3 linked regions of the Styela clava genome follow. The protein of the gene in region 1 purifies or fractionates together with the protein of each later gene. This does not show direct contact. Links are inferred from orthologs where the notes say so. Each region holds a gene or a part of one and is shown in the gene's direction. Other genes may lie near its edges.

Evidence for each region.
Region 2: the proteins of cytoplasmic FMR1-interacting protein 2-like (region 1) and actin-binding protein WASF3-like purify together in Drosophila melanogaster (affinity purification with mass spectrometry; 3 studies listed by BioGRID, with this or other methods). This does not show direct contact. The link is inferred for Styela clava from reciprocal best matches to the Drosophila melanogaster genes Cyfip and SCAR.
Region 3: the proteins of cytoplasmic FMR1-interacting protein 2-like (region 1) and putative protein BRICK1-B purify together in Drosophila melanogaster (affinity purification with western blotting; 4 studies listed by BioGRID). This does not show direct contact. The link is inferred for Styela clava from reciprocal best matches to the Drosophila melanogaster genes Cyfip and HSPC300.

Annotation. Positions count from the first base shown.
Region 1 is NC_135257.1:9,569,080-9,577,187, forward strand, and holds the start of cytoplasmic FMR1-interacting protein 2-like, read left to right. Parts: upstream 1-5,001; 5' UTR 5,002-5,077; coding exon 5,078-8,108. UniProt on the Drosophila melanogaster protein: Plays a role in guidance and morphology of central and peripheral axons and in synaptic morphology. Also required for formation of cell membrane protrusions and for bristle development.
Region 2 is NC_135259.1:22,312,769-22,320,612, reverse strand, and holds the start of actin-binding protein WASF3-like, read left to right. Parts: upstream 1-4,796; 5' UTR 4,797-4,917; intron 4,918-5,798; 5' UTR 5,799-5,803; coding exon 5,804-5,909; intron 5,910-7,844. Other genes in the region: uncharacterized protein LOC120337403, read left to right, coding at 1,428-1,525, 1,863-2,838.
Region 3 is NC_135263.1:816,538-824,020, forward strand, and holds putative protein BRICK1-B, read left to right. Parts: upstream 1-5,050; 5' UTR 5,051-5,131; coding exon 5,132-5,194; intron 5,195-5,581; coding exon 5,582-5,764; 3' UTR 5,765-6,930; downstream 6,931-7,483. Other genes in the region: serine racemase-like, read left to right, coding at 1-440; serine racemase-like, read right to left, coding at 7,279-7,483.

The DNA of each region.
Region 1 (8,108 bases):
AGACTTCTGCACGACGTAACAGTCAAGTTAGTCAGCTGTAGGTGGATCCCCAGTGGTCGGATGAATATCAGATGTACTCAACTGATCGCTTTTGCGTTGGGTAGCCTTTCCATAGTTTTTTTCAGTTACCGGTTATATTAGTCCAGTTATTCTAAGGAGGTGTTGAAAAGTATAGGTAAGATATTAAACACTTGTATATCCTTGCCATAAATAGCAATTTTAGTTGAGCACTAGCTCATAAGACGTTGTTAAATAGGTACGGTGCGGTAACTCCAAGGAAGGCTAGACCTACAGACCTAGAATAATACTGTAATATGTCACAAACAACGATATTTTCTGGCTTGCATGAAATGTTTATGATTAATTTAATGACTCTTCTTGACTATTCAGCAGACTTATACTACTATATAGGCCACAGCATATTTGGAAATAGAAATGAATGGCTGTTTCTGTAATGCATGGTTGTGTGAAAGAGAAGAAATTAATCAATTTTACTAATGTCGGTTGGTCTAAATCTAAATTCATAGAGTCGACAAGAACCTGGGAAGCAATGATAAGTTATGCCGGAGTGGAAAGAAAGGTAGCATTGGAAATGATTGAGAGGTGAGAAATGAAGTTGTAGACAAACAGTTGATGTTTCAAAATATAGTCTATAGTCCATACTCATACTGTCATAGGACATTTCAGACTGTGATATATCAAAATTTAGTGTAGATATAGTCTAGTAATGGTATGCAAACACTGCTGGACTGTAGAACATGCAATGAGCATATATACGCTCATTTAGTACATCAGATAAAATGCATTATGTATTCAAGGTATTAGTTAGTATTTAGGGGTATTTTTAAAATCATGCTGCTCCAAATATTATTTTCTTCCTTATTTTAGATACTGTACTACAAAAGAAAACGGCAATGTTCCACCAATCCGACCTAACGCAGGCTCTGATCCCTGCTGCTATCAGTGCTATAAAATGGATTAAACAAGAAGTCTTGAAGCTTAAAGGTATATGAGAATCATAATAGTTGCAAACAGCTTAGATGGGCTATTCATATTGAAATACTTTAGCACTTTTCTGCAATTGGAACTGCCCATCAAATTCATGTTGGAGACTTCATTGAGATTTTCAATTCATTTTTTTCCCTCGACTATGAAGATCTTTTGAGGTTAACGAGGTATTAATAAATAAAGCTGAGGAATTTGAAGAAGATATGAAGAATGTAAATGATACGGTACCAGGGCACGTCTATTTAACACTGTCAAACATAAGGATTATACTCTCCACCCAACAATGATTCACTGAAGAAGCATGTGGCCCTCAAATCAGTTCTTGAGTTGGCAAACTGCAAAGAAAAATAGTCAAAATAATTTATGAAAGTGTGCCAAAATCAACTTAAATTGCACAGATTTTTGTTTTTGTATTGACTGCAGAAATCACAGTACACCTATAGAGGAAAAGTCGATTTTTGAGATAGTGGATTTCGAAAACAATTCAGAAGAAAGTGAATTAGATATTACAGTTGATTTAATAAGTATCATACATTTGTTTTTTTTCGGACATTTGTTAGTGTCGTAGTCCTGTTTCTAGAAATATTATTGCCTTTGTTCAAATACATAACCACATAAACTAAAAAAAGATTAATTGTAAGTTGTAATATTTCTGTTCACTGTGTTATGTACATATTGTACATTCATTTAATTTTCTTGACTTTTGCGGTAAATTTCTAAGTGAGAAATAACTGATTTATTTGTGTTTTCGTGCTCACGATGTTAATTTGTGACTTCATTGCTTAAAAATAAATACGTTTGATACTTGATAGCTTCCATAAAATGGATGTAGCTTTTTATGCTGTTCTTGTTGTAAACTGCTTGTGGTTATTACATAAAATTTATTCTCAAATGTGAATCGGCGTTGTTGGTGTCGCTGCTTTCGAGGTCACTCCCGACTCCTGTCACACAATTAAAGTATTTTTTGTTGTTGGTTACATGTATGCCATATTTTTCGTAATCTACCTAATAAATTATGATTGACTGAGGAAGTCCGATTTTGGTCAGGCAAAACATTACAGGAATACATTTGTGTTAGTGTGCTGTAGGGCTCTCGAATTGTATAGTTCTTATGTATGCGTTGTAAACTTATGGTTATTGAATTTCCGGGAACCTCTTATATTCAATTTCGCACCAGGATTGTGGAACAAGCTGTAATGCGTTCATTATGTTCGTTTTCACACAAAACTGAAGAATTTATTTAGTTACCAGATGTGCGCTACGAAACTCATTTTCTGGGCGTTTTCATGGTTTCGTCTCACGGCCCATATCCGTGGTAAGGATCTACAAGTGTTTAATAATTTACTTATACATTTTTCAACAACGTCTTAGCATAACTTAACTAATAATAACTAAACAGGGCTATGGAAAGCCTGTCCAACTCAGCGCAAGGTCGAGCAGAAATAACTAATATTCATCCGCTCGCTAACAGCTGGTTTAATTCAATTGTTACGTCATGCAGAAGTCATTGTTCAGTGCCGAAAATGTAGAGAATATAGGACAGATCGTAGCACATATTTCTTGTAGTAAAAGCGTCTTTTCCGTAAAACGTGCAACTTTTGGAAGTGGGAACAAGGCAATATTTGTTACTAAATTTTTAAGGAACATTTTAAAATCATTTTCAGGTAGTTACCTGATGTGCGCTACGAAACTCACTTTCTAGGCGTTTTTCAGGGCCTCGGCTCGCGGCCTAATAGGGTAGGATCAACATATCTCTTCCTATGGGGAAATCCGATAAGGCGGTTCAACAACGTGGCGAACCACGGCCTATCCTCCGGTCACCAGTCCATATCGGTATCGGGTTGGTTAGCCAGTACACTGAAAATTTTATTTCGAATTTAACTATTAGAGCAATGAAATAGTTGGTGAAATTAAATTAAAACTGATTATAAAATTAAAAAATAAAACAAGTAATTTAGCAGCTCATAAAAAAAAAATTATTTAGTCAAATAATTCAAAAGAAAAGCATATGTTCACATCATTTTGATCAAATTCACTTTGATTTTGATCCTAGGCTTTGATTTTGATGATGACTTGCTAGTGACATCATGCGGTGGTGACCTCATATATTACGAAACGATTGCAAAGGGTAAACCCGCGATGCCGTTTCTAGATTTGGTGGCGCCACGCCCCTTGTTTATTTGCTGCGCCATACATAGGTATTTTAACCCATTTATCACTGTTTCCGCTGTTAGGGTGCAGGTATTTAATTCCTACTTTTAGGCGTATGTATTTTATGAGTCCAGGAAAACCATTAAACGTGAAATCTATAACTTCAAAACCGAATTATGAGCGGCTGTTGCCAGGTGATATCGTTATGCAATATACAGATTACTGGATCTAGCAATTCGTCAGTCTATCAGTTCACTTGGGTGAAAACAGAAATGGTGTAAATTGCAAATAGTATGGGTAATTGACTCATATTCAGCTAGGAAGTGATCTTAACACTGACATAACGAAATTGAGGGCAGACTCAACTTCATTTCAAGGTCCCTTTCTTTTTTCAAATTGATGTTTTTCGACTGTTGAGCTTCATAATGCCCAACTGTTTAGCTCCAAGCTGTGCTAGAAGAAAATGGTTGCACCGGCATTGCACAGCGTCGAATCGGATTATTGCTATGAAATCTTCTAAAAACAGAAAAATGGTGTAACGTTGTCTTTGCAACCAAATTTATGTCATTCAGTCATTAGATAGTTTTACATTCTACTTTCGCTATACTACATACTGCTGTACTGACATATGGCCGTATGGTAGGCCATTCAAATTCCTTCCTTTGGTTTTATTCTGTTATTCTAATAGTCCCTATAACAGCTGACTTATTTGATCCGGTGCAACAACACAAAAAAATTCCTGTTATCCAAAGTTGCCACAACATGGTGTCCATTGGCTTTTTCAACATTAAGCAAGTTCGTTGCCGCCCATTTGTGAGACCTAACTCTTTTCATTAGTTGTAAGACTAATTTAATACACAACTCAATAGTTTATCAATCTGATTCCCAGATTACGAGGCGCAGTTCTTACCACTTCATGGCAGCTCCTGCCACGAACGAACCGCGGCAGCTCTCGCCATGGTTTTATAGCGCTATCCAGTAATCAGTATTAACGGTATATTCACAAAACAATGCACCAGATTTTAATTTATCATGAGGAATTATATCTACTTATACCCTAACCCCAAATCCATCAAAACTGTATCCATAGGAAAAATGTTCCAACACACCCAATATTTATCACCATAAGGGACAGCCCTGTCGTTACGGCCCACCTTCCGTGGTTATGGGAGCAAAATTTTACCTGCCATTGGTTATCAATTTGCTGCCGCGGTAATAGCAGCTCATTGGTTTGTGGCAGTTAAAAAGTCAGTCGCCATTAAAACTGCACTTGCAGATTACTGGAGTAGTATCCACTAAAAGCGTTTGTTAAAATTAGCAAATCGAGGGCTTCAACCCAAAAAGGCGAAGCTTGAAAAGCTTCTTCGCAAAAAATGAGTGAAAATATATTTTTGATTTTTAAACTTCTGTAACTTTTTATTGAAAATTTTGCTGACTATTGATTCATTCAACTATGCACTTTGGTATATCTTTGTAATATTTTCAAATAAAACTTCAACTTTCCATTTTGTCTTAAAACCCCATATTTAATACTGATATAGCATTTAGCAAGGAAAATTCATATTTGCCCAATTTAGTAATATGTGTTTGATAAATTTTCTGCAATTATTCTTTTTTGTATAAATGTGTGGAAAGAATGAATTTGGTGAATGCGTCAGTAATTTATAATATGAATGAATGATTCAACGCAATTCAAATACCGTATATTCGATACATTTGAATAGAATTCATCTAGATTTTTATAAATGAACAGGCGCATTTACATTTATCTGCCTAAAAAAAGCCTGGCTTATGATAACTGTAGAAAATACAGTAATATGAAAATCTTCAATTTACAGGCTGCTTGTGGTTATTAATAATATTTAATGCAGATGGGTTGAAAATTTTCGAAGTATTTCGAGGCCTATTTTATAACAAAATGACAGCTAATGTGTCTCTTGAAGATGCTTTGTCCAATGTGGACTTACTCGAAGATCTTCAGCTTCCTGATCAGCAACCATGCATCGAGCCGATGCCGTCAACATTACTTTATCAAGCCAACTTTGACACTAATTTTGAAGACAGAAATGCATTTGTGACTGGTGTTGCAAAATATATTGAAGAGGCTACTGTGCATTCAGATATGAATGCCATGTTGGAAGAGGGAGAGACATATGCAGTAATGCTTTATACATGGCGTAGTTGCTCGCGCGCTATTCCTCAGGTAAGGTCCAATGAACAAGCAAACCGAGTAGAAATTTATGAAAAGACTGTTCAGGTTTTGGAGCCTGAAGTAAGAAAGTTGATGAATTTCATGCTCTTTCAAAAAAGAGCTGTAGAAAAATTTTGTGCAGAAGTAAAGCGTTTATGCCATCAAGAAAGAAGAAAAGATTTTGTTTCCGAGGCATATCTTCTTACACTTGGTAAATTTATCAATATGTTTGCTGTTCTTGATGCCCTCAAAAATATGAAAAGCAGTGTAAAAAATGATTACTCTTCTTATAGAAGAGCAGCACAATTTCTGAAAAAAATGTCAGACCCACAGTCAATCCAAGAGTCACAGAACTTATCCATGTTCTTGGCCAACCATGATAAAATAACCGGGACGCTTAAACTATCTTTGTCTGGCATCCCTAACTCTGAGGAACTGTTGTGTGATATTATTAACATAAGTATGAATTATTATGAAAACAAACGCTATGTTCTCCCAAGTGAAAAACACATGCTGCTTAAAGTTATGGGATTTGGATTGTGCCTCCTCGATAACAGGGATATTCATAAAGATGTCAACATATATAAATTACAGGACAAAAAGAAACTTCACCTCACCAAAATAGATAAATTTTTTAAACAGCTTCAAGTTGTGCCGCTTTATGGTGACATGCAAATACCTTTAGCGAGCTACATACAAAATATGTCCGATTTTGAAGATAATAAATCAAAGTGGTCTTGTGCTTCATCAACAGTAAGCACTGGAAGTTCGAGTGCGCAATACAACTTGGCAGAACAGCTTGTTGCTATTCGTGAGGATCATATAAAATATACAAGCGAACTTGCTAAATACAGCAACAATGAAGTCGTTACTACGACGCAGAGAGATCAGCCTCGAACGGATGAAGAAAATTATGTTTTGTATAAATTAGCGCTCAGAGGTTTACAATTGCTCTCAAAATGGAGCTCTCATGTCATGGAAGTCTATTCTTGGAAACTTGTACATCCGACTGATAAATACACCAATCCTGAGTGTAAAGATGAGGCAGAGGAGTACGAGAGAGCAACTCGTTATAATTATTCAAGCCAAGAGAAATATGCTCTTGTTGAAGTCATTGCTATGATAAAAGGTCTTCAAGTATTGATGGTTCGAATGGAAAGTGTTTTCGCAGATGCCATACGCAGTTATATTTATTCGCAAATGCAAGATTTTGTTCAGCTTCGATTAAGAGAATGTTTACGGCAAGCTATAAAAAAGAAAAAGAATCATGTTCGGAGCATTGTAAGCTCTGTTAGAGAAACATGCGCTGATTGGATAAGAGGATTTGAGCCTCCAAATGATCCTGCCCTGAAAGGAGAAAAAGATCCAAAGACCGGTTTTCATATTGATGTACCTCGTAGAAATGTTGGACCTTCAAGTACTCAATTATACATGGTTCGTACAATGCTGGAATCCTTAGTCGCTGAAAAAAGTGGAACAAAAAAAGCATTGCGAACCGTTCTTGATTCTCATACTATTGAAGCAATTGAACAGTTTCACAAAGAATCATTTTTCTTCTCATCTCTGCTTAGGCTGAGTGAAACTCTTCTTGAGTGTTGTGATTTATCTCAGCTTTGGTACAGAGAATTTTTCTTGGAGCTCACTATGGGAAAAAGAATTCAATTTCCCATTGAAATGTCTTTACCTTGGATCTTGACTGATCATATATTGGAAACAAAAGAACCTTCAATGATGGAATATGTCCTCTATTCTTTAGATTTATACAATGACAGTGCTTATTATGCCTTGACAAAATTCAAGAAGCAATTTCTGTATGATGAGGTAGAAGCCGAAGTCAATTTATGTTTCGATCAATTTGTCTACAAACTTTCTGATCAAATTTTCACTTATTTTAAGCAATTGGCTGCTTCACAATTATTGAATATTGGTTTCCGGGATCACTGCTCTGCTAAAATACCATACCCACCTGCTAACAGATATGAGACTCTTCTCAAGCAACGTCATGTCCAACTTCTTGGACGATCCATTGACCTGAATCGATTAATAACTCAGCGTGTTCAGGTGGCTTTGCATAAATCCATTGATCTCGCAATAAGTAAGTTTGAAAGTGGAGATATTACAGGTATTATGGAATTACGAATGCTGCTGGATGTCAACAGGCATACCCATAAGCTTCTGAGCAAGCATTTGACCCTTGATGGCTTTGATGCAATGGTGAGAGAAGCGAATCATAATGTTTCGGCTCCGTATGGACGCATCACTCTCCATGTCTTCTGGGAACTCAACTATGATTTTCTACCAAATTATTGCTTCAATGGTTCTACTAACAGATTCGTTCGAACGCCAATTACATTTTCCCAAGATCTTCAAAGGGACAGACCACCAAATGCTGGGCATCACTATCTTTTTGGCAGCAAACAGTTGAATGCTGCTTATCGTGAAATGGCTGGTTTGTATACAGGATATGTTGGAGCAGAACATTTCACAACCATGTGCGTTTTGTTGGGATATCAAGGCATTGCAGTGGTTATTGAAGAGCTGCTGAAAATTGTAAAAGGCCTGCTTCAGGGAACAATATTACAGTATGTTACAACTTTGATGGGAGTTATGCCTCCAATATTGAAGTTGCCAAGATACGATTATGGATCTCCTGGAGTGCTGGAGTATTATCAGCATCAACTTAAAGATATCATAGAATATTCCGAATTGAAAACATTGGTATTTCAAAATTTCAGAGAAGTTGGAAATGCAATTCTAT
Region 2 (7,844 bases), on another chromosome or scaffold:
ACAGAATCAGTACCGGTAGTTTAACACCAGGATAGGATAGGATTTTACATATTTATCCCGGAGGAGAGGAAAGCCGATACAAAGGCTTATCCATATGGCGAACCACGGCCTCTCGTCCGTTTACCATTCCAAGTCGGGTATGGGATTAGTTATGTTGTTTGTTTTCGGAAGCATGGACTTGGTGGTGGAGGAAGCCGTTATCGACCAGCAGTTACGTGAACCACCCATTCAGATATTGGAAATACATGTTGTACATATGGCAGTATGGTGATAAAATAAACAATGATTACAAAACAATGGGAACTTCAACTTGCAAATAAAAGTTTTGCCGGATTGATTTTATATCGTGTAGCGCAGGGGTCGGGAACCTATGGCTCTTTTAGTGACGGCATATGGCTCCCAGAAAAATCTAATATTCTGAGGCTATGCTTACTATTGTTACGAGATTTCAAACTCTTTTATAGCCACATTTGGCAAAAAAATTGCCAATACGTTTGTAAAGGCACGCCCAACGCATGTAAGAGAATTACCAGATACGGTAGGCATTGTGACAAAACTAGGGGATTCTGGAACATATTTTGTGACATCACAAAGCGATAGAGTCGCGGAGCAATCGAGAAAAGCTTTTTGTACATACTGGTTATACAGTATTTGTCATATACAGATCGGACTAGTAAAGCTAGTGTTTGAAATACTACGGGAATGCCTAAATGAAAGAAAGGAAATGAGTATCGTTGATTTCAACTTGTGCTGCATGTGAACAGTCATTCAAGGCCCGCAGCGACAACATGCAGCATCAGAAGTCACTTTTAATGTATATTGACATCATATTATGTGTTGACTTTTGAGTAAAAATTTCAGGTCTGATAAGTTAAGAAATGCATCTATGGCTCGCACCAAATGCAATTGAAAAAATGTACTTTTTATGGCTCTCTCAACCAAAAGGGTTCCCGACCCCTGGTGTAGCCTATGTTTATTTTATTGTGTTCTTTAACTGCTTCTGGTGGACGGCAGGCTCTTCCTGTTTTCAGTACTTGTATGTATTTTAACTTTGTCCGTGAGTTATGCCCGTTCTTCAGGTTCTCTGCATTTTGTTCATTCTTTCATTCTTGTTTTGTTTTATGTCAGGGTGACCAAACTACAAAAAAATAAAATTGATTGATTGATACTCAGTCTTCAAGGGGTTAATCTCATATCTGTCATATTCTGGTACCGGTATTTACCAACTGCTGGTACCTCAGTACAGCGGTACCTGAAAAGTCAGACTGAAGACCCCATATTTCAGTTCAGCGTGTAGCAATCCTTTTTAATTTGTTTGCTTATCAACCGATAATTGTTTAATTTTAGAATTTCAAGTTGGCACTTGGCAAAGTAGATTAAAAACACAATATGAATATATTTTTATCAGATTTAACTAATTATTTAAAATGGCGTCGTCATCTGCCAGTTGGGTTAAATTCTTCAAAGATGCTGGAATTCCAGCTGATCAAAGTGCGAAGTACGCTGTGATGTTTTCAGATCACAGGTAAGATGACCGATCGCCATGTGACCAAAATTGTTGTTTTTTGCTAAAAATATCTTAAGCTCTATGGTAAAACTTTTTTTCCGAGGAATTCAATGATGATGTTTTTAGATTGCGCCTTCTTAGTTTATTGCACAACTTCATTTTAATGTATTTTAACTGAGGGACAACTGTCTGTCCGCTGTCCACTCCATACGCCCTGGAAGAAGTGGTGTCTGTTTATCAGTGAAGTGGAATCCTCTGAAACGAGACAATGTCTCTAGATCTGTAAAGTAATTCTCACACACCCCTATTCTCATTGAATAAATAACCATCACCTATAACTCTTCTATTTTCACAGAATACAGAAAGGAATGCTCGGTGATTTGGATCGCGATATTTTATCCGACATCGGAATAAAAGCTGTCGGGGATAAAATGGCGATTATGAAGCACGCCAAGTTCGTGGATGACCAAACAAAGCGTGACGCTTCTTCGAAGATTCTTGCAGACGGAATTAAGACTCTTGAAAATCGTACGAGTAAGGGATCGTCACCGGCACAAAGAATGATTAACCATAGCATTAATAGCCGTTCACCTTCTGGTAGAAATTCTCCTAAAATTGTTGTCGAAAATGCAGAAAAACCGAAAAATTTTGCTGAAGATTTTGACCCAAGAAAGACGGTGTTTGATAGACTAGGGGTCGATTCACCGAACAAATCGCCTTCCAAAAGTAGCGGGATATTTAAGCGGCTTGGAGGGGAATTACCCAGCGAGGAACTCCCTTACGCTGGCATATTGAAAAAGCCGTCATCGCCTGTGACAACAAAAAAGAAAATTCTCATCGTTAAAAAGGCAAAGTCAACGAGTGTTCTCGATCGGCTTGGAGTGCAAAAGTCCCCTCCCCAAGTTGTTAAAAAACCCGTTACTGTCACCATGGCAAAGAAAGTTGTTTCAATTAAAAAGAAACCTGTTGCCGTAGCAACAACGACATCACCAACCAAAGTTTTAATCAAGAGAAATGTAGAAACGACAAAAACTGGGATTAAAAGGTCATCTAATGTACTTGATCGTCTCGGAGATATCGTTACAAGCACAACGAAGCAAACCGAAGAAGCGACTGAGGAATCTCCAGCTGTTAAAAGAAAATTAATAGTTGTCGGACAAAAGAAAAAACCTGCAACTTTGAAACGCAAATCGACCGGTGACATTCGGGAGAAAATTTCTGCTAAGAAGCCTATTTCAAGTAACACTGTGTCCAGTACTTCTTCTGCTGGGATTTTTAAAGGTGCAGCTCAGGCCAGTTCTAGTGTCTTTGCTCGCCTCGGTGCCAAATGATAGCAGCCACTAGCAAGGATGTCCAAAATAAATAGAATTTTGGAGCTCCAGAAATATGTGCACCAAGATGGCGCACAACCTGAACATAGTATATGTACCAGGTTAGGGTTCAGGTTGTGCGCCATCTTGGTGAACATACTTCAGGAGCGATGAATTTTCGAATCAATTTGGAATTTATTGTGTTCAATATTTTGAATTAATTTTTGAAATATTCAAAATATTTTCATTTTAAATTATTTTTTGAAGATTTGAAGTCACACAGTATCATGAAGTAAACCTTAATATTTCTGAAATTAGAAAACTAGCAAATTACTGTTTTCTGTGGTGTGTTGACCTAGTGGTCGGCAACACAGATTACTTAGCTTGGGTCCAAATTACTTCCCCCCCACCTTACCCAGGGTGTAATAAATTAGGTAGCCAATGCCAAACTGGAAGGAACAAGTCTTTCGAATAGGAGTAACTCCTCTCATATCGTTAAATGTCAATGGCTGCTTGTATAGAGCCTTACAAATGTTCTTACTGGATGGGCTGTGTGGTTTGGCAATGTTTTCTGGTACTGGAGCTTGAATCAAATTTTCAACTTTCCTGTGGTCTTGGATCAAAATTTTTTTGGATTCTGAACATGTTCTGTTGTTGGGACTGGTTTAAAAATTCAAAAGCATGCATTAGTGCCTTCAGAAAATAGGTCGAATGAAATATTCCTGGTTTGGTAAACGGGGTGATGGGAGCTGATTCAGCTGAATAATTTGTAATTTTTGAACTCATTGAAATTTACTGTTTTTTTTGTATTGATCTGATGTTTTTGCAGTAAAATTGTATCATATGTTACAGATTTTATACCAAAAATTCATTTTAAATATTCAAATTGGATTGCAAGATATGATTCAAGGACTATTATTAATATACGATCACTTCTATCCAGCTGGTTAATTTCAACTGGGTATTCCCCCTCCTTTTTTATCCTTCAACCATCTGTTTTATGATATTTTGTATGTTTTTCAATGATAAGGACAATACTATTCCGACCCCTTCAATATGGAAATTCAGTGATGCATATCTGGCCAGAATCTAGAATATCAAAATAGTACTAAGTGCCTTAGGAATTTACTTTAAACGTGCTGTGCACTGCTGTCTGAAACTACTATTTTCATAACTTGAGATAATCAGACTTTTTTAGGAAAAAATCTTTTAAATATTCAGGTAAATCATGATTTATGTCAAATGTTATGAGTCCTATTTTTACTCTTGATAAATTCAATACAAAATTATCAAATAGGATTTCAGAAACCCAAGCTATTTTCAGTCACCTGGTACTGTTCACAGGGTATTTGCACTCCCATAGTATGTGTACCAGGTTAGGGTTAGGCCATGATTTTATTCCGATTTTCCTTATTTTAGTTTTATTACGAGTTCAGGGACTGTCTGTGTTACCCAAGTGAATATATCCCCTGCCCATAGGCTTCAATCCCTTTACGCAACTTGATGTAAAGTGGTCGAACAAAATTAGTTACCTTGATATTGGTACACATACTTCTGGAGCTCCAAATGCTCTCCTTTCATCATACTGTTTTTTTTATTTTTATCCTGAGTATATATTGTACATTGACATGTTCATCCTGACCCTTTCACGAACAAATTAGTGTTGCATGATTGGTCAGATTATTCTCACCTTAATAGAAGGTGCCCATGTTGCATGATTGGTCAGATTATTCTCACCTTAATAGAAGGTGCCCAGTGCTGTAAGGACATGCTTGGGTTAACAATAGTTCAAATTGTAATTCTGGATAAATATAATTTCACATACTGGTTTAGTTTAGATTCAAATGCATCGCAAAGTTTGAAGCGTTTTTTGGTGATTGATAATGTCTCAAATAGCATTTGCATATTATTTTGTATTTAATGCAGAGCTAGAGTGTGTGAAAGTCGAAGACATATTTTTGATTTTACACATAGATTGGTACAAATTTCACACAACTGTTCATGTGCTTTTAATAAACCCTTTTTTATTAAATTTTAGATGTTACTAATTATTTAACATAACTTAGCTAAGATAAAATTCAGAAGTAGGAACAAATACCGGTGAGTTTGTATTTTACTTTATTATTTTAAAGAGCCTACAAAACTGTCGACTCATTGTTACTTATCGATTTTAATCGGTAAGTATGTTGATAGGTATTTGTCTGTATGTCTGTCTGTCTGTTAGATGCACGCGATATCTCACGAAAACGAGATTGAATCTGCTCCAAATTTTGCATGTGCATTCATCATATGTCGGACCAGAAGCCTATTGATTTTGGATGAATTATGTCGTATAATTAGCGAGGTAATAATTAGTGATGGGCATTAGTTGATGGGACACAAGGTGTCACTATGGAGTAAGAGCGCTGTTTTGGGGGATCCCCTAACTTTTGATCGATAAGTCCTCCGTCTCTGACCGATATTCTCGTTTGGTTGTCAGTACTATTCAGCTTCCTTATTTTGCCAATATAGAAACGATAAGAAAACTTTAAAATCTAAGGCTTGGCAGCTGGAGTTACTGGAGATATTAATTGAAAAGGGTATTACACCTAGATAACAGTTAGCAGTCAAATTATTTGTAACCATTTACCATTCAATAGCCATTACCGATTATTTATTCAACATCGGTTAGCCATTACCGTTAACCATGAACCATCCATTCATTTATTGATCAATCGTTTATTTTTTTTATATTGGTTGGTAACCGTTTGTTTAATATTGATTATCCATTTGTATTACCATTTAACTGTTTATTTGTTTATTACCGGTTATTAACCATATATTCAAAATTGATTAATTGCTTATTTATTTAATATTGTTAACCGATTGAATTACCGTTCATCTGTTTATTCATTTTATCACCAGCTAAAAATATATTCAATTACTGGTTAATCCTTCATTTATATTTTAATTCTCTAATTTCTCTTCCATTCTATTCCCAGTTACCATGCCGATCGTTAAACGAACAGTCTCGCCCACAGCTCTGTGTCGGCAGAAAATACCAAGGGGATTGAAGAATGAACTGGAATGTGTGACTAATAATACTTTGGCCGGTGAGTTGGGGGTAGTACATGGTAGTGAAAAAAGTTTTTGTGTTTTTATGGCAGCGGTTCCCAAACTTTTAGTCGTGCAGCGCCAAATAATCACAGAAAAAAACTCACGGCGCACTTCCATAACAAAAATGCTACTCATCAAATAAAACTCAATTTTGTTACAGCTAATTTGTACTTTATGCATTATAAAGTCACCCATGTTTGCTAAACTCGTTTCAGCAGATATATAAACTATGCACCTAGTAACTTTTGGGAACCAATATTTTATAGGATTTGGTTTAATATTCAATCAGCAATACATCTAAAATGATAAGGAAATTTATAAGAGAGAATTTTATCTTGTATTTATATGTAGTATTACTTTTGTCTTTTATAGACTGATATTTATCCCAGCATAACTGTATTTTTTAAATGAAAAGCGTACAATAGGAGGGAATTTTTTTATTTTGAAAAAGGAAATTTCATGTCTTTTTATATGTATTATATCTTTACTGATTTAGTATTATTACAATACATGGACACATTCAATCTGTGCAAAAGCTACAGTGCTGGTCGCCTGTGTCATTAGCTAGGGGTTTATTAAAAATGAAGTGCTTTTATGCTTAGTTTTCATCATAGCAAAGGCTATTAATTTAAACCACCTTTCCATCCCTGGTTCTTATTAATTTTACTACGTCTTGCGAAGGGCTTGTTGAAGGCCCTTTTGTAGATCATTTGTGCTGTAAATTCTCACAGTAGCCTACATATAGTAGAAAAACTTTAAACTTTTAAGCTTTGAATGGTTTGTTATTGGGATGAGAAAGTTCTCAACAAGAAACCGCCTTTGATGTGATAAATTATGTATTTGGAATGTGAAAATTGTCACATAGTCACATAAATAGGATCCTGTTATCAGATCCTTTTGTTTATTATTAAATCCTCTAGATTCGATATTCTGATTTGCACTTATAAATGTAGGGTAACTCATAAGAAAAAACAGAACCCAGGTTATTTGTAATTCTAGAGAGAAAATAACTCTCGTGCAAAGCGTCCTAGATTAATTAAATCTCTTGGTGCAATCCTGCACAAAAAAGAAGTGTTAAATAAACATTCTCCATTTTCATAATAATTACAAGAAGTTTGTTAGTTCTGCCCTGCATAACAAGTTCTAATTTTCTTGGGATGCAATCTGGTGATATTCAGTTCAATTTGATGTTTCGGACACAGGATATTGGTTTTGGATTTGTTTGAATATTAAATTATTTGATTTTGGTGATCTTTGAATTTTCAGAGGCTCGGCAGTTGGTTCATCGTGCTAAGCCTAGGAATACACTTGCAATCCAAGCGTACCTTTGATTACCAGGTTCGCACTTTCAGTCCTTCGGGGAATAATTATATGCAAGATTATAACTACTATAACCGACTTGACGTGTTGTCGTGTTTCACTACATGATTAAGCTGGATATGAAAATCCCGGGAGAAACGATTCATCAATATAAACAACAACAACAGATTTACATGAGATATTGCGCAATAACCCATGCATTATTAAATCACAATCTGGAAACAGACGAAACCCCCTCGTTGGTCAAAAATCTGAATAATTTATATTTTCGCCTGAAACGATACCTGAGGTAGTGATAAATATTTTAAAATCTTCTGAGATAGATTTATGTTTGAACAAGCATGGCCCAAATGTTAAATGAGCGTCTATGTCTGTCCCACACGTTAGTTATCATTTTAAAGTGATCAATATGACCCTTGACCCAGGAAGTGTGGAAGTGAATATTTATGTTTAATTATTTAGTTCCTGCCAGTTGGTTGACGCAGTTAGTATTCATGAAGGTTTCTGGTACGAGGGCTTTGTTAGAACGGCTGATTTACGGTTTGTGAAAAATAGGTGGATTTCTGCTACTGGGATTGCTTCACAGAGATGAATATTATTGTTTTGTTAGC
Region 3 (7,483 bases), on another chromosome or scaffold:
TAGTCGTCCCTGTCGGCGGTGGCGGTATGATAAGTGGTATTGCCATCGCGGCAAAAGCAATAAATCCTGCGGTAAAAATAATCGCCGCAGAACCTGACACCGCTAACGATTGTGAAATTTCGAAGCAGAAAGGTGAATTAACCCAAATGACGGACTATTCTTCAACCGTAGCTGACGGGGCAAGGGTTAATATTGATACATTGACGTGGCCAATCATCCGTGACCTTGTTGATGACGTCATAACCGTTTCTGATGACGAAATTAAATCTGCAACGAGGCAAGTTTGGGAAAGATTGAAATTAGTTATCGAGCCTACTTCAGGTGTGGCCGTGGCTGCTGTGTTGTCGAAAAAGTTTTCTCGCATTGAGGGGAAACATGTTGCTGTTGTGCTTTGTGGAGGAAATATTGATTTGAGTAGTTTTATGTTGTATTGTGTATAATAATAAATGAAATATATATATGATGAAACTTGTGTTTTTTGATTGGTGGATTCCAAATACCATTATTTTCAAACAATTCATGTTCAAGGGAGTTTTCTTGTCAAAGAAAAAGAAAAATCAGTTTTGCGTCTGGCATTATGACCTCCTACTGCTCTGGCCCCGATTGGGAATCGCTGGTTTAAACGATATACAGTGAAATGCAACTAATTTTCAACATTTTGTTGCCAGTAGTTACCAATCGTCCACCGGCCTTCTTGCCATCTGTATTGCAAATGACGCATTTCCGTTCTTAGCGTACGTGCACAATATTAAAAAAAATCGAAAATTTCCCTCGATATTCGTTGTAACTAAAAATGACTCACGAAGATTAAGTTTCCTTTAACATTAACCAAATGCAAAGCAAACTTTTCAGGTGTTCCCCATTTATGAATTTTTAAAGTATAAGCAACCTTATATTACAATATAACTCATAAATTCAAGTCATGCTTCTGCGTGTTTTTAACAGCAATGCTTATTGAATCTGTGCTGAGGTGAATGACAAATTTCCTTAAGGTTTTCATACTATTGCTGAGTGTTTGATATCGTGTCAGTGAAGGATTTATATAGATTTATGTTGTATGACAATTTCGTATTAAGCAGGTGGCGGGCGAGACTCGAGGTGTGAATAAGATAGGACTAATCATCGTGACTTATCATTTTTAAATTACAAAACTGTGCTATTTTGGGTTTCTGGGGAACCACCTTTTTATCTCAGCCTACAGCGCTTCAGAAGTATGTGTACCAATATGGAGGTAACTAATTTTGTTCACCTGCTCTACATCAAGTTGTGTAAAGGGACTGAAACCTATGGACAGGGGGTATGTTCAGTGGGCTAAAACAGACCCGAAATCGTATTTAGAACTAAAATAAGGAAAATCGGAATAAAATTAGGCCCTAACCTGGTACATACTACGGGAATTTATGCTTTCAATCCATATGCAAGAATGCAGTACCAGACCGTAGCCAGTCCAAAATTGGGGGGGGGGGGCAATTTTTTTTCAAAATGATGTAACACGACGCTTAATCGTGCCTTTTGCTCCGAACAAGGTAGATAAACGCGGCCACTTAATTCTAACAATAACTTGAAGAATCTTTTTACAGACTTACTTTGCTTACGCGCACATTCTCATCTATCTCGGTTGGTTCATTTGATGAAAGGATTATTGATGAAAAGTCCGGTTTTCAGCAAATCAATCAAGATTGGTGCAAATTGGTTTTGGAAAGTCGTAAGAATTTATGTCTCAACTATCGCTTAGCCTTACAGTAATGAAGGCACCGGGCAAGACAGCGAAAGATTTATCGCAGCGAGAAGAACAAAAATCATTATGTATTTTTACTCATGTGAGCGCCTTTTTAAACATAAACTGTCATTTTAGGATTTTAAGTTTAATGGGAAAAATCTGAGTGTTGACAAGGGCCGCACTAAACAGGTTGGCGGGCCGGGTTGTGGCCCGCGGGCCGCCTGTTCTTTAGTCATCGGAAAAAGCCGATAGAGCCCAGCTGATGATGACTAAGTCCAATTCTCTTATTCAGAAATTGTAAAAAATTGTCATGTTTTTAATTGAAAAGGTTAAATTACCCTGCAATTCATAGTAAAACTGCTATATTTTTTTTATAGTGCATTGTATCCCAGCATCGAGTCTAAGATTATTTCCTGGAGTGACCGGGTTCCAAATACTGTTAAAAATAAGCGCAAAAATAACTTGTATTGCACGGTATAGCCCGGGCATTAAACTGTCGCGATACATAAAAAAATACACTCAGTCAATTTAGAATAGCAGTATTTTTATTATTTTAAACGAAGTGTTGCATGTACTAATTCAACCCATAAATTTGCATTGATTTTACTGAACTTTATTAACAGTATCAGTGCGGATACGCGTAGGATTGCTGAAAGCGTTTTATGATGAATTAATAATTGAGATGCAATTGTAGACAAGGGAAGAATTGAGACATGTTTGAATTTACTTTAAATTCCTTTTCCAACTTGGAGATTATACGAGTCTTCTAAAAGCAAGGTTGCGAGTCCTCGACTGCAAGTAGAAAGATTATGGTGAGAAATAGTTATGTTACAGATATGCCAGTAAATATCAGTTGACAAGATGCTTATATACATGCTATACGATTTTTGGCGCTCCAGAAGTATTGGCGCACAACTACACATACTATGTTCAGGATTTGCGCCATCTTCGTGCACATACTTCTGGAGCTCCCGATTTTTAACATCCCTCAGCTAGGAGAAAAAACTAATCGGTGCCTTCAAAGACCATATTTAGTCCTTACGAAGACTATCAGATTATACTGTGTGCAACATTTTTATTGCTGTGCCATTTACCCAACTTCAGATATCTAGCTGGTCATACAAGCAATTAGTTTTTCCATAAACACGACGAATTAAAAGTTCTCACAATGCGAAATATTATTTATTCAACACTTTAATAGGCAATTGTTATTTCGAGTTATTGCATAGTTTGTTTGTATCAACTGATAATATAAACTGTGTGATAAAGATTTTAAGCTTGATGGGGATAAATCTGAATGTTGATGAGGGCCACACTAAATGGCTTGACGGGCCAGGTTGTGGCTCGCGGGTCACCTGTTGCCGACTCCTGGATTATCGTTTATGCTTGTCAGGAGCTTTTTAAGAGTGAAGATGTAATGAACGCGCTCTATAACACTTACAATAGAATAGGATTTCTGCTGATTGAGTATCGCATTTTCCCATATGGTTTGTGAATGATGTTTGCGGTTGCCCGTATACCCAGTGGGATTGTAGAATTAGACATGACATGCGCGAGGTATTCTGTTTGTCTTCAGATATGTAATGTAGTATCCATCGTTCAGTCGGATGTCCGAAACCAATTCCCTACTACCAGTGTATTCGTACCAGTGTGAGATTGTCTATATCACGTATTAGTTGATGCTTTTATGTAAATTTAAAGTGAGATTTGAGGTCAACGATTAATGAGGTGGAGTTGTCTAAAATGTGCAATGTATTCAGTATGACCTTCGGACATGTAATGTAGAGTTCTTCGCCATTTCGGGCGATTGTAAGTATACTTTGGCAAGCTCTATGTAGGGCTGGGCATTTTCGAATACCTTGTGATTTCAGAATTGAATCGAATAATATTTTCGAATCGAATCGAAAATACTTGAAAATATATTTGTAAGCGACTCTATTATAGTAATTGGTCCTCTCAACAAATGAATTACTGAAGACATAGAATAAATCCCTCAGATAGATTACTGAGCGTTCACGCAGAATAACTCACTACAGGAAATAGTCATATGTTAGAATTTCGTAGAAAAAATATGACTCCAATGAAAAAAAACTTAGGGAATTCACCTCGACCATTGGCGGAAAGATAAAAACAAGATGGCGGTGATTTGAAGTTTAGCTCGGAACCGATTCGAATAATTTACTATTCGATTCGAAATGCCCAGCCCTAGCTCTATGACGTGATTGTGACATCGTAGTAACGTGATTTTTGGATGGCGTAGTCAGGCGGGGTTAGAATGGACATGTGAAAAAATTCATATGCTATGACCACTAGAAGTACTTGAAGCACGAAACTACGCGAGACCCGCGAGAGTGCCCAAGGCTAACCCAGTATCTTTTGTATCAGGCTGATTTTCTGGAACTTTGTTCAGATTGAAAACGCTTCATAAACGTATGGTAGCTTTTTACATATTAGTGTATGCTTTTATAGAACCTTGGATCAAGTATCAGTGGCTACCTGCCTGTAGATTTGAAGTGAACTCTCAAAATGAGAGATGTGTCTTGTATTCTGTATAACTTCGGGTTATAGAACTAAAAGTCAATATATTTTTATATCAGTCGCGTTCAGAGTGAGGACACCTACAAAACAGAGTGGCTCTGTTCTTTTTTGATATTTGCTCAGAACAACGTCCTACACTGGCAGCCATAGTTGATGTAGTTGGTTTATTTTTGGAATGGTGTTTTTTTACAACAATTAAGTTTAATTAAGTTTTTGATAATGTCTGTAAATGGCAATATGCAGTGGCTGCTTGTTCAGGGTATTGTTCAGTGCGTACAAAATATATTTCTTATCAGATCAGTGAAGGCTTTTCTACAACCTTAGATCACGTATCAGTGGCAGTCAATAAGATAGGGAAAGTCACTGTTTTTTTTTTTGTTTTTTTTCGGTTTGACACCACTCACGCCATATATTATGTCTTGTGCGAGGTGATGGACATGGGGATCGACTGCTAGGATTTACATATTTATTCCGGGGGAGAGGAAAGTCGATAAGACGGCTTGACAATATGGTGAACCAGGGCCTCTCGTCCGGTTACCATTCCATGTCGAGTATGGGATTAGTTTGGTTATGTGAACCACCCTACGGCGGCGAGGAGTCCAGCAAACCTCTCGCACATAACCATCCCGCATGGGATTCGAACCTGCGAACCCACGCAGAGTAATCAGAGGTGCGGTGGTGAGCGTATTCATAGCGCATATTACGATGCGCCACACCGCCGCGCCTGATATTAGTTATTACTAATAGACGTCTGTTCATATCCTAAGATATATATATTGTATTTACAGTATTGCTTTCTAGTAGAAACTAAGTAACAGTATTGCTTGCTAGTCCACAAAATCATACCCGCCAATTCCAACCATCCATCAAACTATGTCGTTGTACGAAGAAAACATTTCGAATGAAACGAAAGAAAGTCGACATCAGAGAATACAGGTAATAAAAGTGGTGGAGGGAGTCATTTTAAACTGTTCCATTATTTGGCAGCTCCGTACTTTGAGTTGTTCTAGTATAAACAAGCTCTGACTAATATGGTCACCTCAATGTCCGCAAAATTTCGCAAAGCTTTGTCATGCGTTTTCGAGCGATAGAAAAGGATTTGCCTCAACCCAGTTTTTTTTAAGTCCAGGTCACCGAGAATATATGAATAAATAAATGATAGCCCTCCAAATTCTCCCATCTATAAGTACTGGAATCTGGTACCAATTGGTAGAGCATAAGGATTTTTTCAAAAAAACAAAAACCCAAACAACTGCAGCAAGAATTCAATGAACTATCCAAAAATACATTCCATGTCCAATAAAATTTTGTTCTTCTTTCCAGGAAGATTGGGATAATCGCGAATACGTTGAAGCAGTAACGAGTAGCATCAGAAAGATGACGACATTTCTAAATTTATTCGATGCTTCGTGCAGGAATCGTCTGACATTTTTGAATCAAAAATTGTCTTCGCTAGAGCGAAAAATTGATTATATCGAAGCAAGAATTGAGAAGAAGGCAACGTGATTTGTGCTTGTTTATTATAATGGACAAAAATGGTGTTTACAACTGCAGGGTAACCCTTTCCACATAAAAGAACAGCGCCCTTCTACAAAAGTGAAGACAATTTATGCACCACTTGAACTTATGTGTGTGAATGATTGTATCCAAAGGTTTTAGTAATCAAGGACGCTTTGAACTAAAGTTATGTTATCTCTAGTGTATGTCCCGAATCACCTCCTCGGTATTGTAGTCCGTTACGTCCCATATTACTGACACATTCGGGTACAGTCATACACAAACAGTTCAAGCGTATTTTATACTTGATGTTATGTTCTCTCCATGATGGTGGTTCTCAAACTTTTTAAGCTAACAGATAGTAAGGCGAAAGTATGTTTTATTTACAAAACACGTTGAAAATACGTATGGATGAAGCGTAGATATCCAAAATAGGGCGAGCAATATCAAATTCAACAAATATTTTTAATTAGCTTTACGCCCCCTTAAAAAATTGTATATGCTACCCTTGTGAGGCGCGCCCCATCGTTTGAGAACGACTTCACTAGAATATGTTCCAAATGACCTGGCTCCTGTTTTTCTTTGGGTCACCATGTACTAAATGGACTTTGTTTGTCATGTTTTTCTCTAATAGCGGACTTATTTTCAAACTCTTCGGAGTCATGTATTAGACTTTCAATCGTCGTAAAAAAAATCTGAAACTGGGTTCTGAAAATTCTATTTCCCAAGCTAGACCGGAGCAGGTAGCGGGAAATAGCTAGCCCGAACACATAGTTTTCAAGTATCCTGAGAGTCTAAAAAGCAAGTGAATGATACAGAAGAATGCTCACATTTAAAAAGGGAGGAAGGGCTCCCTGGATAGGTTCTGATATTCCAGGAATGTTTTTCTCGAATCAGCTCTTATCCGATTCTCGCGGCCACTGAGGATGATGGACTTATATTCGTAAAGATTTGTATTCTGATATTCTACGCTACACAACTTATTACAACATTCGAAGCATTTTTTTCGACGTTTTTTATTTCATATGGGCACCCACTGAGCTTCTTGTAAACCATCTAGCGCTCGACTAATCAAGCAAATAATAATTCAGTCTTTTTTATATTTTGTGAGGTTTTCCTATTTTTCATTATTTTTATTAATATTATTCAGAGAAATAAAGCAATTTGATAATCTAGTTTCTTTGTTGTTTTGAGAAAAGGATAAAACGTCAATAAGAGAAAAGTGTTTTATTTAACAGTATCCTTACACCTATAGTTGAGGTCTCGGGATACAAGCAAACCTAAAAATTATCGCACAATTACTTTAAATATAAAAATAAATAATTATTTGCACCGAATTAGGAAGCCTATGTTGGAAGGAAGATTGGGTCGCGCGTCATGGAATTTTCAAGCAGTATAACCTTATTTTTACACTTATGACGTCAGTTTAACGTAAAAAGTTACGTCAATTGCGCCACATAGTCGGAACGGCGCCTACTTTTTGCTGTTCAGGTCAGAATCATATTCCTAAACTAATTATAATCCTAAGACGAGCAGTTTAATAATTCCGGTAAAATAGCGAAATCTACATTTCCTCCGCATAGAACTACTGTTACATTCTTAGGTTTTGAGTTTGGGAAAAATTTCGACAAACTTTTGTTGAAATTTTCAGAAAGAACAGCGGCCACAGCCACCCCTGCTGTCGGTTCAATAACTAATTTGCATCTTTCCCAGACAAGCAGTGTGGCA